Callithrix jacchus: one gene and its partner. The protein of the gene in region 2 purifies or fractionates together with the protein of the main gene of each other region. This does not show direct contact. Links are inferred from orthologs where the notes say so. Each region holds a gene or a part of one and is shown on either strand. Other genes may lie near its edges.

What was found. The genes of interacting proteins can lie anywhere in the genome.
Region 1: the proteins of SPAST (region 2) and NUP85 purify together in Homo sapiens (affinity purification with mass spectrometry; 3 studies listed by BioGRID and IntAct, counting the BioPlex papers as one, with this or other methods). This does not show direct contact. The link is inferred for Callithrix jacchus from reciprocal best matches to the Homo sapiens genes SPAST and NUP85.

Annotation. Positions count from the first base shown.
Region 1 is NC_133506.1:131,120,243-131,128,188, reverse strand, and holds the start of NUP85 (nuclear pore complex protein Nup85), read right to left. Parts: upstream 4,837-7,946; 5' UTR 4,761-4,836; coding exon 4,728-4,760; intron 1-4,727. UniProt on the Homo sapiens protein: Essential component of the nuclear pore complex (NPC) that seems to be required for NPC assembly and maintenance. As part of the NPC Nup107-160 subcomplex plays a role in RNA export and in tethering NUP96/Nup98 and NUP153 to the nucleus.
Region 2 is NC_133515.1:82,910,597-82,918,400, reverse strand, and holds the start of SPAST (spastin), read left to right. Parts: upstream 1-3,202; 5' UTR 3,203-3,487; coding exon 3,488-3,902; intron 3,903-7,804. UniProt on the Homo sapiens protein: ATP-dependent microtubule severing protein that specifically recognizes and cuts microtubules that are polyglutamylated.

The DNA.
Region 1 (7,946 bases), on a different chromosome or scaffold from region 2:
AAAAAAAAAAAAAATTAGCTGGGCATGGTGCCACACACCTGTAATCCCAGCTACTCAGGAGGCTGAGGCAGAATTGCTTGAACAGCAGAGGTGGCAGAGAGCTGAGATCGCACCAATGCACTCCAGCCTAGGCAAGAGAGCAAGACTGTCCCAATAAAAAAAGAAAAGATAAGAAATCATCCCTCTACCTACCTAAGATGAATGCATAAATGTTTTGTCTACTCCCTCTTTTCACAGGTAAAATGCAAATTTACTGAGGCTAATCAGAGACTCACAAGAATGTAACCATTTGCCTCCTCATTGCCTAGCCTCCCATATTTTCCCCCTCCTGCTAGCTCCTTCCTCTTTTTTTTTTTTTTTTTTTTTTTTTTTAAGAGATGGGGTTTCACCATGTTAGCCAGGCTGGTCTTGAACTCCTGACCTCATGATCCACCCATCTCGGCCTCCCAAAGTGCTGGGATTACAGGCATGAGTCATCGCGCCCAGCTGCTCCTTCCTCTTTAAGGAATGATGTTCCCAAACCTATCTTTGGCAAAAGCACAAGTCACACATTCTCCTGTGACCTGTGTTTTTTCCTGGTTGGATTCTCAACCTTAGCTAAATAAACCTTTACTGATTGAGGCTTGCCTCAGTCACTTTTCAGTTAACAAAAAAAAGAGGGAAGAGAAGAGCATTCCAAGTAGCGAAAACAGTAGGTATCTCCTACATAAAGCCCATGAATTTCTGTATACACATCACAGATTATCCATATTTGACATGCTCTCTTCAAAGTTCAAATGGAATTGAATGCACAGCGATAAAACGGGAATAGTCTGTAAGGTCTTTTAGGCTGACTGACAGCGCCATGGATGCCATGTTAACCTCTGTGACTCCAGATGAGTTCCTGGAAAATCTGAAATAACTGGAAAACCATGAAAAGAAGAAGAAATGATCAACCCCTTTGAGACATTCTGTATTGTTCCTTATTCCTGCCCCAACTGATAAGGCCATTGGATTTTGTAACCAACCTTGGTCAGCCTGGTCTAGGTCAACCTGGACTCCGCACTCTACAACCTCCTCGCAGCTTGCAAACTTAAGACCCCCATCTCAGCTTGCAAAAACCCCGCCCTAAACTGTAACTTCTGTAACTTTCCACTGCTGACCCCAAACCTATAAAACCAACTCCTCTCCCACAGCCCTTAACTGACTCTTTTCGGACTCAGCCTGCCCACACCCAGGTGAATAAATAGCCATGCTGCTCACACACTAAGGCTGTTTTGGGGGGCGGGGTCCCTTCATTCAGAGTGCACATTTTAACATTTGGTGCCAGAAACCTGGGATGGGGGAACTACTACAGGAGACCAAACCCCGGTCCTGTTCTCCTTGGGCTCCCTCCATGGAGAGACCTACCTATGACCTAGATTCATCAGACCAGCCCACAGATCTACTCACCATCCTCTCAGCTCAGGTAAGTGGTTTGCCTCAACTTTTCTCTTTAGCCCTTCATGCTACCTGTCAAGCTTTGTCTCCCCTCAGTTTCATTTTTCTCTCCCTTTCATCAGAGACAAGAAAGACAGGACTTTCTGTGAGGTTCATGACCAGAAAAAAATCCTACGTAGGTCACGGAACTGGGAAGACAGTCTTCCATCAGTGACTGATCATTGCGGAGACATCTGCTCTGGTCACTCACTCACACTCACAGGTGATAGATCAATACGGGGGACGCCCCCTTTGACCGATTCACCCCAGGTTCAGACCAAGATTTAGTCTGGGATGTCTGCTAAACTGCTTGGTCATGCATTCACTTTCCTTGTCTCCACCGCTCGTCTTTTTTGTTGTTTTTTTTTTTTAATTTTTAATTTTTTATTTTTTCCGCCGCTCTTTTCTTTTTTAGACAGAGTTTCGCTCTTGTTACCCAGGCTGGAGTGCAATGGTGCGATCTCGGCTCACCACAACCTCCACCTCCTGAGGCAATTCTCCTGCCTCAGCCTCCTGAGTAGCTGGGATTACAGGCACGCACCACCATGCCCAGCTTATTTTTTGTTTTTAGTAGAGATGGGGTTTCAGCATGTTGACCAGGATGGTCTCAATCTCTTGACCTCGTGATCCACCTGCCTCGGCCTCCCAAAGCGCTGGGATTACAGGCATGAGCCACCGCGCCGAGCCCCGCTCTTCTTAAACTATGGGCAAACTCCTACCCTCCATTCCTCCCTCCTCTCCCTTAGCCTACGTTCTAAAAAACCTCAAACTTCTCCGGCTATCACCTGACCTAAAACCTAAGCATCTTATTTTCTTCTGCAATACTGCTTGACCATGATATAAATTGGACAATGGCTCTAAATGTCCATTGTCCATTTAGAAAATGGTACCTTCAATTTCTCTATCCTACAGGATCTAGATAACTTTCGTAGTAAAATGGGCAAATTCTCTACGTCCAGGCATTTTTTTTTACACACCAATCTCTCCCTAATCTCTGTTCTCAATGCAACCCATCCCAAATTTTCCTTCTCTCCCTTCCATCTGCCCCTCCTGCCTCTGCCAGCAACCTAGAATTCTCCTTGTCCATCGACCCTTCCGACCTTTCTCCTCCCTGCCTGTCGGAACCAGGCCCTAATCCAGGACCTAAGCCCAACCCCTAGAGCTTTCCTCCTCTTCCTCTGCCCACAACCCATTTCCTTATGCCCCTCCTGTCACCTCGCCACCTCATAAGTGCCCCAGCTTGCAGTTTAGTCCTGTGGCTACCTCCTCCACCCCTGTCTGACAATTCCCTCTTCGAGAGGTGGCTGGAGCCAAAGGCATAGTTAGGGTGCAGGTTCCTTTCTCTTTATCCGACCTTTCCCAAATCAGCCAATGGTTAGGCTCTTTTACATCAGATCCTCCAATACTTAACCCAGGCCTGTAATCTCGCCTGGAGTGACTTAAATGTCATCCTTACTTCTACTCTCACCCCTGAAGAATGCTTGATATGCATTTTATCACCCATTGAGTCCCTAACATTACAAAAAGCCACAGAAATTAGAATCTGGCCCTCAAACCCCACAACAGGAATTAATTGACCTCACCTTTAAGGTGTTAAATAATAGGGAAAAAGCTACCCAGGGGCAGCGTATTTCGGAATTACAAATGCTTGCCTCCTCTGTAAGATAGACCACAGCTACTTCTTCTTCGGCTCACAGAAGTTTCAGACCACCAAACCCACAGCGTCCAGACTTCTCTTCAGGACCTCCTTCCCCAAAGCCTTGCTTCAAATGCCGAGAACCTGGCCACTGAGCCAAGGAATGCCTGCAGCCCGGATTTTTTTTTTTTTTTTTTTGAGACAGAGTCTTACTCTGTCGCCAGTCTGGAGTGCAGTGGCGGGATCTCGACTCACTGCAGCCTCCGCCTCCTGGGTTCAAGCAATTCTCTTGCCTCAGCCACCCAAGCAGCTGGGACTACAGGCGCGCGCCACCATGCCCAGCTAATTTTTGTATTTAAGTAGAGACGGAGTTTCAACATGTTGGCTAGGCTGGTCTGGATCTCTTGACCTCGTGATCCGCCCGCCTCAGCCTCCCAACCGGGATTCTTCCTAAGCCATGTCCTGTCTGTGTGGGACCCCAATGGAGGTAGGACTGCCAGACTCAAACTGCTGTCTTTAAGTCTCCAGGAGCCCAACCCGGGAGCCCTCAGGCTGACTCTTTCCCTGATCTCCTTGGCTTGGTGGCTGAAGACTGATGCTGCCTGAACATCTCAGAGGCTCCCTGGAACATCACAAACACTGCGCTTCGAGTAACTGGTGGAGGTCAAGTCCATCCCCTTCTTAATCAACCCGGAGCCACACACTCCACACTGCCTTCTTTTCAAGGACCTGTCTCCTTGGCCTCCATAACTGTTGTGGGAATTGACGGCAAGGTCTCCAGGCCTCTCAAAACTCCCCAAGTCTGGTGTCAATTAGGCCAGCACCACTTTCCATATTCTTTCCTAATCAGTCCCACTTGTCCAATTCCTCTGTTAGGCCAAGATATCCTAGCAAAATTGTCTGCCTCCTTAACTATTCCTGGGCTATAGCCACACCTCACTGGCGCCCTCCTCCCCGAACCCATACCTCCTGAATAGCTCCTCTTATGTCCCCCTACCTTAACCCTAGGGTGAGGGACACCGCCTCCCCATCCGTGGCTACAAGTCACTCTAACTTTCCACTGCCCACCCCAAACCTATAAAACCAACTCCTATCTCACCGCCCTTCGCTGACTCTTTTCGGATTCAGCCCGCCCACACCCAGGTGAATAAACAGCCATGTTGCTCACACAAAGTCTGGGTGTATCTTCATTCAAAGCGCACGTTTTAACAGTCTCCCCAGAGAATAAATACGTTCAATAAACCTTAGACCACACAGGCAGAAGCTCAATGTACCGCTTGCAAAGCTTAACATAGCTAGAAGAAAAACATCAATACTTCTGCTCGGGCTGAACCCACTCTACTGCCCAAGAGGAAAAGCGAGGGAAATAGAAAGGCCAGGAAGACAAAGGAGGGAAAGGGATGGAGTGGGACCTTCGGGGCCAGGACTTGTGACTGGTGGCAGAAACCCTGCAACCACTGCAACTCGAGGGCGGGCACTTCGTTAACACTGCGACCTTCGGACAGTGGCAACTGAGTCAAGGGTAGGGGACGAGCGCCTAGCGGCCAGGAGGGAAGCAGACAAGCCTGAACTAACGAAGCAGACGCAGTTCTGGAGCCGCAAGGACGAACAAGCCTTTTCGGGGCGCCCTTACAGTGACTGTTGGCTCGCCATCAAGCTCCTCCATAGCGCTACACTCCAGCCTCCTGGAAGTCGCCCCACCGCCAATGCTTCCCGCTCAGGCCTCCAGCTCAGAGCTGGCTAAGAGAGGACCCCGCTGGGCGCCTCCTGCAGCGCCTGCAAGCCCAAACCCTCAATGCTGCGGGGGCCTCTCCTCTCAGCCACCCGTCTGCGGTCCTCTGAGCGGGTCCTTCCTTTCTGGCCTCGACAGCACGTCAGGGAGAAGAGCGCCGAGGGCAGACTGCATTCACGGTACCGCGCTCACAGGATCAGGCGGCACCGCGGACATCCCCGCGCCGGGCGGAGAAAAGGCCCCCGGAGACGGCGGGAGGGGCGGGAGGACCCTGGGGCCAGAGACGGTGCGACTGCGCGTGCGTGAGCTTTGCGGCGCTGGTGCGAACTCGGGCAGCGCTAGGGCCCCAGTGAGCGTACAACCTCTACCAACGCTGGGAGTCCTCGCCCCATCCTGGTCTCCACTTTAGTGTCGTCGCAGCTGCTTGTCCAAACCCCGACAGTCAAACGGATTTGTGCTGGAAAGCAATCGCCGCCACTCCCACACTAGAACACATACAAGAAGCACCCGGACAAAATCGACACCACTGAAGGCTGGGCGCGGTGGCTCACTCCTCTAATCTCCGCACTTTGGCAGGCCTAGGTGGGCGGATCACTGGAGGTCAGGGGTTCGAGACCAGCCTGGCCAACATGAGGAAACCTCGTCTCTACTTAGAATACAGGCCGGGCGCAGTGGCTCACGCCTGTACTCCTAGCACTTTGGGAGGGCTAGGCGGGCGGATTACGTGAGGTCCGGGACTTCGAGACCAGCCTGACCAACATGAAGAAACCCTGTCTCTACTAAAAATACAAATTAGCCGGGCATGGTGGCGCATGCCTGTAATCCCAGCTCCTCGGGAGGCTGAAACAGGAGAATCGCTTGAACCCGGGAGGTGGAGGTTGCAGTGAGCCAAGATCTCGACACTGCACTCCAGCCTGGGCAACACAGTGAGACTCCATCTCAAAAAAAACAAATCTTGGCTGGGCGCGGTGGCTCACGCCTATAATCCCAGCACTTTGTGAGGCCGAGACGAGTGGATCACAAGGTCAAGAGATCGAGACCATCCTGGTCAACATGGTGAAACCCCGTCTCTACTAAAAACACAAAAATTAGCTGGGCATGGTGGTGCACGCCTGTAGTCCCAGCTACTCGGGAGGCTGAGGCAGGAGAATTGCCTGAACCCAGGAGGCGGAGGTTGCGATGAGCCGAGATCCGCCACTGCACTCCAGCCTGGGTAACAAGAGCAAAACTCCGTCTCAAAAAAAAAAAAAACAAATCTTAGTGCTATACTTCCTTTATTATTTTTCTTTTAAGGCTGACAAAATGACATTTGAAGATAACAAAAGTACTTAGATTGTCTGACCAAGAGCTAGGTAACATTGAGGAAAATGTATTGGCAATATTCTTTGGTCTAAGACTGATATATACCAGTCATTTTACCCAATCATTCAAATAGGCTTATTAATAGAATAGTGAAAAAGGAAAACTACAGCTAACAGAGCTATCCTTGTTCTGTATTTTGACTACATATACTATATATGGACCTTTTCCTTCCTCAACCTCTCTATAGATTTCAAAGAATAAGGTTTTGATGAAATCGTTTATGTATCCTTTTTCAGATAATCCTAATGGAATACCATTGGAAAAACAATTCGTTTACAAATTATTTTTCTCTTTTCACTCTTCCATCAGTGGCTCCTTGCCCTCTCTTTTCCTCCTCCTCTCTCTAGAGTGGTTAACTCTCAAATTGTATTTAACTCTGGAAAAGTCTTCAATTATGCAGGCGATACTCCAACTTGAGGTATAATAGAAACTTATTAAGAGAAAAAGAGCAAAGTATTTCTAGAATTAAAAATCATCTAAAATAAAGCATACCTGTTGCACAAGAATCAAACCAGAAATCATTTTTAAGTCACTCCAAAGTCAGGCTTAGAATCCATCTCAGATCGGCTGGGCACAGCAGCTCATGCCAGTAATCCTGGCATTTTGGAAGGCCGAGGCCAGTGAATCACTCAAAGTGATGAGGAGATTGAGGCCAGCAAGCCTAACCAACATGGTGAAACTCTGTCTGTACTAAAAATACAAAATTAGCTAGATGTGGTGGCCCATGCCTGTAATCCCAGCTATTTGGGAGGCTAAGGGAGAAGAATTGCTTTAACCTTGGAGGCAAAGGGTGCAGTTGGCTGATTGCTCCACAGCACTCCAGCCTTGGTGACAAGAGTGAAGCTCTGTCTCTTTTTTTTGTTTGTTTTGTTTTGTTTTTTAGAAACTCTGTCTCAGGAAAGAAGAATCCATCTCAGATCAAGCCAGAGGCAATGTGCTGAAGATGTGGCCTAAGTTTTTTTTGTGTATGAGACATAGTCTTGCTCTGTCACCCAGGCTGGAGTGCAGTGGTATGATCATGGCTCACTGCAACCTCTGCTTCCCAGGTTCAACTGATTCTCCTGCCTCAGCCCCTTGAGTACTGGTTGGTATGTGTACTGGTTGGTGGCATGTGCCACCGCATCCAGCTAATTTTTATATTTTTAGTAGAGACCGGGGTTTCACCATATTGGCCAGGCTGGTCTTAAACTCCTGACCTTGTGATCCACACACCTCGCTCTCCCAAAGTGCTGGGATTACAGGCATGATCCATGGTTCCAGGCCTTTTGTTTTTTTTTTTTTTTTTACCTTGAGACAGAGTCTCACTCTGCTGCCCAGGCTGGAGTACAGTGAAGTGATGTTGGCTCACTGCAACCTCTACCTCCTGAGTTCAAGTGATTCTGCTGCCTCAGCCTCCCAAGTAGCTGGGGCTACAGGCACACACCACTAAGCCTGGCTACTTTTTTATTTTTTAGTAGAGACAGGGTTTCACCACATTGGTCAAGCTGGACTTGAACTCCTGACTTCAGGTGATCCACCCACCTCAGCCTCCCAAAGTGCTGGGATTACAGGTATGAGCCACCGCATCTGGGCTGGTAAAGTCTTAAGTATATACATTTTAATGCATCCTAATAAAACTAATGCTCCATAGTCTGCTAAAGAAATAAATACACAATCATTTCAAGAGACGTAATTATTTTGGAAAACAAGGTAGAAATCTATTATCAGCAGCCACACAAATATTTATGTACTTTTTTTTTTTTTGAGACGGAGTTTCGC
Region 2 (7,804 bases):
AGCCTGAGTAACAAGAGCGAAACTCCGTCTCAAAACAAACAAAAAGAAATACATAAATATGGCTGGGCGCGGTGGCTCACACCTGTAATCCTAGCATTTTGGGAGGCCGAGGTGGTTGGGTCAGGAGTTCAAGACCAGCCTGGCCATCATGGTGAAACTGCATCTTTAAAAAAAATAAAAAAATAAAAAGAATTAAAAAAAAAAAAGAAATACATAAATACACTGCAAACCTAAATGAGACACAAGAATGAGTAACATAAAATTTAGGATAGTGGCTTCCTCTAGAGGGAGTGACAAGACTTTGAGATTAGGGAAGAGTTCACAGAGTGCTTCAAGGAGTTGGTTACATTCATTTTTCTTTTTTCTTCTTTTTTCTTTTTTTGAGACAGAGTGTCATTCTCTTTGTCACCCAGGCTGGAATGCCATGGCATGATCTTGGCTCACCGCAACCTCCACGTCCTGAGTTCAAGCGATTCTCCTGCCTCAGCCTCCCGGGTAGCTGGGACTACAAATGCCTACCACCACGCCTGGCTAATTTTTGTATTTTTAGTAGAGATGAGGTTTCACCATATTGGCTAGGCTGGTCTTGAACTCCTGACATTGTGATCCACCTGCCTCGACCTCCCAAACATTCATTTTTCTTAAACAAAATGCTGCTTATTGTTTTTCTTAAATTGCATATTTAAGTAATATAGTTTTTGTTTACATGATATATGTATACACGTAATAGAGTATACAGTATAAGTCAAGTTTTTTGGTGGGAGTTCAGCAATTGAATCAGATTTTTTTTTTTTTTTTGAGACAGAGTTTTGCTCTTGTTGCCCAGGCTGGAGTGCAATGGCACAATCTTGGCTCACTGCAACTTCTGCCTCCTCGGTTCAACCAATTCTCCTGCCTCAGGCTCTTGAGTAGCTGGAATTACAGGTGCCCAGTACAACACCCGGCTAAGTTTTCTTGTATTTTTGGTAGAGATGGGGTTTCACCATGTTGGCCAGGTCGGTCTCGAAATCCAGACCACAGGTGATTTGATCACCTCGGCCTCCCAAAGTACTGGAATTACAGGCATAAGCCACCATACCTGGCCTAACTTTTGTATTTTTAGTATAGGGGTTTTGCCATGTTGGCCAGGCTGGTCTCGAATTCCTGACTTCAGGTGATCCACTCACCTTGGCTACCAAAGTGCTGGGATTACAGGTGTCAGCCACCGCACCCAGCAGAAAGAGGATATTTCAGAATGAGGAACTAGCATAAGCACAGAGAAGGGGGAGCAATAAGAGGGAAACAGGGAGTAGGTGATTTTTGCAATAGCCTGCAATATTTGTAGGGCATTATTGGTGGGAAATAATTAAGTAAAGTTGGCTGTGGCTCATGCCCGTAATCTCAGCACTTTGGGAGGCCAAGGCGGGCAGATTGCTTGAGTCCAGGAATTCGAGGCCAGCCTGGGGAACATAGCAAGACCCTGTCTCAACAAAAAAGTAAAAAAGTAGCTGCGTGGCTACTTAACCCCAAGACTCTGGACAGAAAAAAAAACCCAAAAAAGAATAAAGAATAAAAAAAGAGAGAAAAGGAAAAAAAAAGTAGCTTCAGGTGCGATGGGGTGGCTCACGTCTGTAACCCCACCACTGTGGAAGGCCGAGGCAAGTGGATTGCTTAAGCCCAGGAGTTGGAGACCAGCCTGGGCAACATGGTGAAACCCTTGCTCTACAAAGAATCAAAAAGGAAGTTGAGTGTAGTAGTGTGTGCCTGTGGTCCCAGCTACTCAGGAGGCTGAGGGGGAAGGACCACCTGAGTCAGGAAGGTGTAGGTTGCAGTGAGCCACGTTGTTTGTGCCACTGCACTCCAGCCTGAGTGATAGAGTGAGACTCTGTCTCAAAAAATAAAAAATAAAGCTGTGGCAGAATGTGGAGATTCTTGGAAGCTAGAAGCTCTCATGGGGCATTTGTAAACCTCACACTACAAATAAGTCTTTGTATCAGTTAGGCTTCCTTAGTTTTAGGAAACAAGAAATAATTATAGCTAACTCAAGTGAAAAGAGAAAGAGAAGAGAAAAAAGATGTGGAGACAGAGAGAGAGGAAAAGACAAAAGGAAGGAAGAGGAAAAGAAGAGACGAAGAGAGAAATAGATTGATTAGTGTATTGGATAGGTTACATAACCAAGTGACCAGTCAGGAACCCAGCAGCTCTGGGGTGCTCAATGTGATGCATTGATCAACCCGCTCTTAAGAGCACTCAATTCCAACTACCTTTTATTCAGTGTGTCTCCAGCTAAGATTCTAAGTCCCCAGAGAGTCTGACTGACCTAGTGTTTGTTTCCACCTTTGTGGCCTGGGTTCTGTGCTTGCAGCTCATTAGAATACAGGGAGCAAAGACAAGCAGGTAGTTTCCCAAAGGAAGGGATGCTGAGTACATTAAAAAAAAAAAAAAAAAAGTATGGATTTTTCAGTAAACTATGGGATGGTTACTACGTAAAATCTAAGATTTCCCTTATTCAAATAAATTACCTTTCAGATTAGACATCTAAACACGCACTAATTTAGTTAAACCCCTGGGTTCGTTGATCTGATCACATGGAGCTAACATTTTCGTTGTTGTTGTTTGCAGTAATCTGAAATTTCTCTCTTCACAATTGCTTTCCTCTCGAATAATTCCTAATTCTAAATTTTTTATTTTATTTTATTTTTTTCTGGAGACGGAGTCTCGTTGTGTCGCCCAGGCTGGAGTGCAGTGGCGCGATATCAGCTAACTTGCAGCCTCTACCTCCCGAGTTCAAGCTATTCTCCTGCCTCAGTCTCCCAAGTAGCTGAGACTACAGGAGCGAGCCCTCCATCACCTCTGGCTAATTTAATTCCCAGATTGATACCCATTGCTTCTGAGATGGGTCAATTATCATTCGGAGAAGACTTAGGTCGACTGGTAGAAAAAGATGAAAGAAATGTAAGAAAACGATGACATTGAGAAAGGAGCCCTGCGAACCAGCAGAGCGACCCCAAGCTGCAATTCCCCCTTCGGTGGATCGATTACCAAGGCTTCCTGGCAGTACCTCTTCGGGGCTGCTGACGTGAGCTGAACTGCACATTGGGAATTGTAGTCGAGCAGGGAAGGAGGAGGGGCCGGCACCGCACACGCGTACAGGAGCCCAGGTCAACAAAGACGCGCCGTGCGCGCGCGCGCCGGAGAAAAACACGGGAAGACGGACGTGCGCGTGCGCGGCCGCCGCTGGGAGCCACCAAGCGGCAGAGAGGACAGCGGCAAGGAGGGAGGGGCCCAATCCACCGACTGCAGGAGGAAGAAGGGGTTGTGCTCCTGGCCGAGGAAGGAGAAAGGGGCGGGGCCGGCGGGCAGCGCGCGGCGGTGCGGAGCGCCGGAGGCCGGCGGACAGGCGGGGGTCTGTGGCCCTAGCCGTCGCAGTGGCCGCTGCTGTCGCTTGGTTGGTTCCCGTTGGTCTGCGGGAGGCGGGTTATGGCGGCGGCGGCAGTGAGAGCTGTGAATGAATTCTCCGGGTGGACGAGGAAAGAAGAAAGGCTCCGGCAGCGCCTGCAGCCCGGTGCCTCCCAGGCCTCCGCCCCCCTGCCTGGCCCCCGCCCCTCCCGCCGCCGGGCGGGCCTGTTCGCCCGAGTCGCCGCATAAGCGGAACCTGTACTACTTCTCCTACCCGCTGTTCGTAGGTTTCGCGCTGCTGCGTTTGGTCGCCTTCCACCTGGGGCTCCTCTTCCTGTGGCTTTGCCAGCGCTTCTCCCGCGCCCTCATGGCAGCCAAGAGGAGCTCCGGGGCCGCGCCAGCACCGGCGTCGGCCTCGCCCCCGGCGCCGGTGCCGGGCGGAGAGGCCGAGCGCGTCCGAGTCTTCCATAAACAGGCCTTCGAGTACATCTCCATTGCCCTGCGCATCGATGAAGACGAGAAAGGTAACTAGGGGGGCTGGGGGAGGGGGCGGCGGCACAGGGAAGAAGGCAGTGGGGTCGCCGTGGGAGTGCCACACCTGCGTCCCTTTCCTGTGGGAGGGGACGGTGCACCCCCGGAATTGATCTGCCCCGGGAGACCATCCCCGTAGATCAGAGCCTCATCTAGTATTCTCAGTCAAAATCTCTCCCCTTTCAGGGCGCCCTAACCATCGACTTTGTTTCAGACACCAGCCTTCCCCCACACTTCTGCATGACCCAAGTCACTGTGAGACACCCAGACGTGCTGATGACAGTGACAGTTGTCCTAGAGTGACCACACCGATCCTTTCTTAGCACTGTAAAGAGTGTGCGGCTTCCTCCGAGCCAAGGTTTCCAAAAGGTTTTGATACTGAAGAAGCAGTGCCTTGTTACAGGCTTTTAATGAAAGCAGGGTACTATAGTGTCAGAAAGAACAAATGACAGTTTTGCAAGGAATAGCTGCATATGACTGCAGTTGAATTTGCATCATTTTTATCAAGATAATCATTTTATCTGTACAATGATTCCTGAATGCTTTTCAGTGTAGTTACATTTAGCATAAAACTTTTCCCCCTGGTTTGATTTTACTTAAAGCAGTTTTCAAAGATAGCCTTTAATTTCCAAGTTGAAATATTTAATGAATGAATTGCATAAATGTAAACATATCACTTTACAATGAAACCTAAAACATATGTTTCTGAATGAAAGCAAGGATACTACATCCTTCGGGTTTTTTTTTTTTTTTTATTGAGACGGGGTTTCACTGTTGTCCAGGCTGGAGTGCAATAGCGCGACCTTGGCTCACTGCAACCTCCGCCGCCCGGGTTCAAACGATTCTCCTGCCTCAGCCTCCTGAGTAGCTGGGATTACAGGCATTCGCTACCACGCCCGGCTAATTTTATAATTTTAGTAGAGACGGGGTTTCCCCGTGTTGGTCAGGGTCGTCTCCAACTCCTGATTTCAGGTGATCCACCCGCCTTGGCCTCCCAGAGTGCTGGGATTACAGGCGCACCCGGCCTCATGTTTCTTTTAAGCTAACATTTTTTAGTATATGTGCCAGGCATTGTGCTATTAGCTTTGTATGTGTTATCTTTTTTCTTTTTTTAAAAAAAATAGCAACTATCCCAGACCATGAAAAGTGTTATTTAATCCTCACAATAACGCTGTGAGATGAAGGTATTATTGGTATCAGCATTTTAGAGGTGAAGAAAATGAGGCTCAAAACATAAAGCAGGTCATTCCAAACCTATGCTAATAGTTAATGAAAAAATTTTTATGGAAAGTAAGTGAAATAAGAAGTCTCACTTTTACAATTCCCTCCTTTTATCCTTATTTCGAGTATGCTGAGAGCTTGCTTCTCCCTCTGCCTAAGAAACCCACTTTTCTCCCACACCTCAATTAGATGCTCACTTGCATTGTCCATTAATGAAAACAGGAGCAATCTGCACTTCATTCATAGTGTCTCTCTCTACTACCAACACCAAAAACTGTTCTAGAATTTCAATCTTGTTGAAACCTATTTTCTTTGTGGGGCCCGGGAGTGGGAAGTAGGATATAGGGAAAGAAGCATGTATTCATGGTTTTGGACAGAGGTCAAGGAGGGAGATAACTTTTAAGAATACTATGTGTTTGTGGAAAGAAAGTTTTTGTTAACTGCTCCATTCTTTTTTTTTTTTTTTTTTCCTGAGACGCAATCTCACTCTGTCACCCAGGCTGGAGTGCAGTGGTGTGATCTCAGCTTATTGCAACCTCCGCCTCCCAGATACAAGCACTTTGCCTGCCTCAGTCTCCCGAGTAGCTGGAACCACAGGTGCACCCCACCATGGCCGGCTAATTTTTTGTATTTTTAGTAGAGACAGGGTTTCACCATGTTGGTCAGACTGGTCACAAACTCCTGACCTCAAGTGATCTGCCTGACCTCCCGAAGTGCTCAGATTACAGGTGTGAGCCACCATGTCCGGCCAGCAAGCTCCATTCTTTATCACCTCTTAGGAACATCCAGGATCCCTTGGAGAGAATGAAAATGGTTGTGATGTTTTAGAATAGAAGAGCATGTTTAAGAGTAGATCATTTTTTGGGCCCGGCAAGGTGGTTCACACCTATAATCCCACTTCAGGTGACAGATCAAGACTCTGTCTCAAAAAAAAAAAAAAAAAAAAAAAGAAAAGAAAAGAAAAGAAAATAGTAGATCATTTTTTGCTGAGCACCATGGCTCATGCCTGTAATTCTAACACTTTGGGAGGCTGAGGGGGTGGATCGTTTGAGCCCATGAGTTAGAGTCCAGCCTGGGCAACATAGTGAAACCCTGTCTCTATGAAAAACACAAAAATTAGCTGGGCGCAGTGGCGATGCCTTTAATTTCAGCTACTTGAGGGGCTGAAGTAGGAGGATCACTTGAGCTCTGGTTGTTCAGGATGCAGTGAGTTGAGATCACGCAATTGCACTCCCGACTGGGTGACGGGAGTGAGACCCTGTCTCTAAGATTGTTTTAGTTGTTGTATTTAGGAAGAGAATGTCAGAACATGCAAGGAAATTTTATTTATTTGTTTATTTGTTTATTTTGAGATGGAGTCTTGCTCTGTTGTCCAGGCTGGAGTGCAGTGGGATGATCTCGGCTCACCATAAGCTCTGCCTCCCTCCCAGGTTCAAGTGATTCTCCTGCCTCAGCCTCCCTAATAGCTGGGACTACAGACACGCACCATCCTGCCTGGCTAATTTTTGTATTTTTAGTGGAGACGAGTTTCCACCAAGTTGGCCAGGCTGCTCTCAATCTCCTGACCTCAAGTGAACCGCCTGCTTTAGCCTTCCAAAGTGCAGGGATTACAGGTGTGAGCCACTGTGCCCAGCCACAAGGAAATTTTAGTTAACACTGTTGGGTGACAAGAGCTGGGAAGTAGGATAAAAGGAGAGATTAAGGAAAACCTAGGTATGAAAAATAAAAGACCCTCAGCTCTTAGATTTGAAGAAATAGCAGTTCCATGTAAGGAATAAACGAAATAGAATTCAGACCTCAGGTCTCAAGCTGGTGACTTTGAGTATCACATAGATATATATGTCTATTATACTTAAATCCTCTTAAACATTTTTATTTTTCTCTGAGAACATACTTAAGCTAAAAAAATTTATTTTTCAGTTGGATACATTAAATATGTAAAAAAAATTATTTTATTTTATCTATTTTAGAGACAGGGGCTCATTCTCTTACCCAAACTGGAGTGGAAAGTTATCATAGTGATCCTCAAGTGATCAAGACTCAAGTGATCCTCTTTTTTTTTTTTTGGCTAGAGGTTGGATCTTGTTATGTTGGCCAGGCTGGAGAAACTTCAGCAATATTTTCATTGATCTGTATGCTGCATATTTCATACTCTTTCTACTGACAATGTTTCTGTTCACAACTTTTTAAAAAATTCATATTTTGATTTCTAAAGTGGACATCAGAATGGGCTATTGACAACTCATTAGTTTCATTTGAGTTCAACAACTGATGCTGTCATATGCCAAATTAAATTAGTTCAGACTGAAACAGATTAGTTACAGATTCATTTTCCTTTAAACATGAAGTAAAACTGTCCGGGTGCGGTGGCTCATGTCTATAATCCCAACACTTTGGGAGGCTGAGGCTGGCAGATCATGAGATCAGGAGATCGAGACCATCCTGGCCAACATAATGAAACCCTGTCTCTACTAAAAATACAAAAATTAGCCAGGAGTGGTGGCATGCGCCTGTAGTCCCAGCTATTCAGGAGGCTGAGGCAAGAGAATTGCTGGAATGCGGAAGAGGGAGATTGCAGTGAGCTGAGGTTGGACTCCAGCCGGGTGACAGAGGAGACTTCTTCTCAGGGAAAAAAAAAAAAAAGGTAAAACTTCAGCTGGGTGTGGTGGCAGGC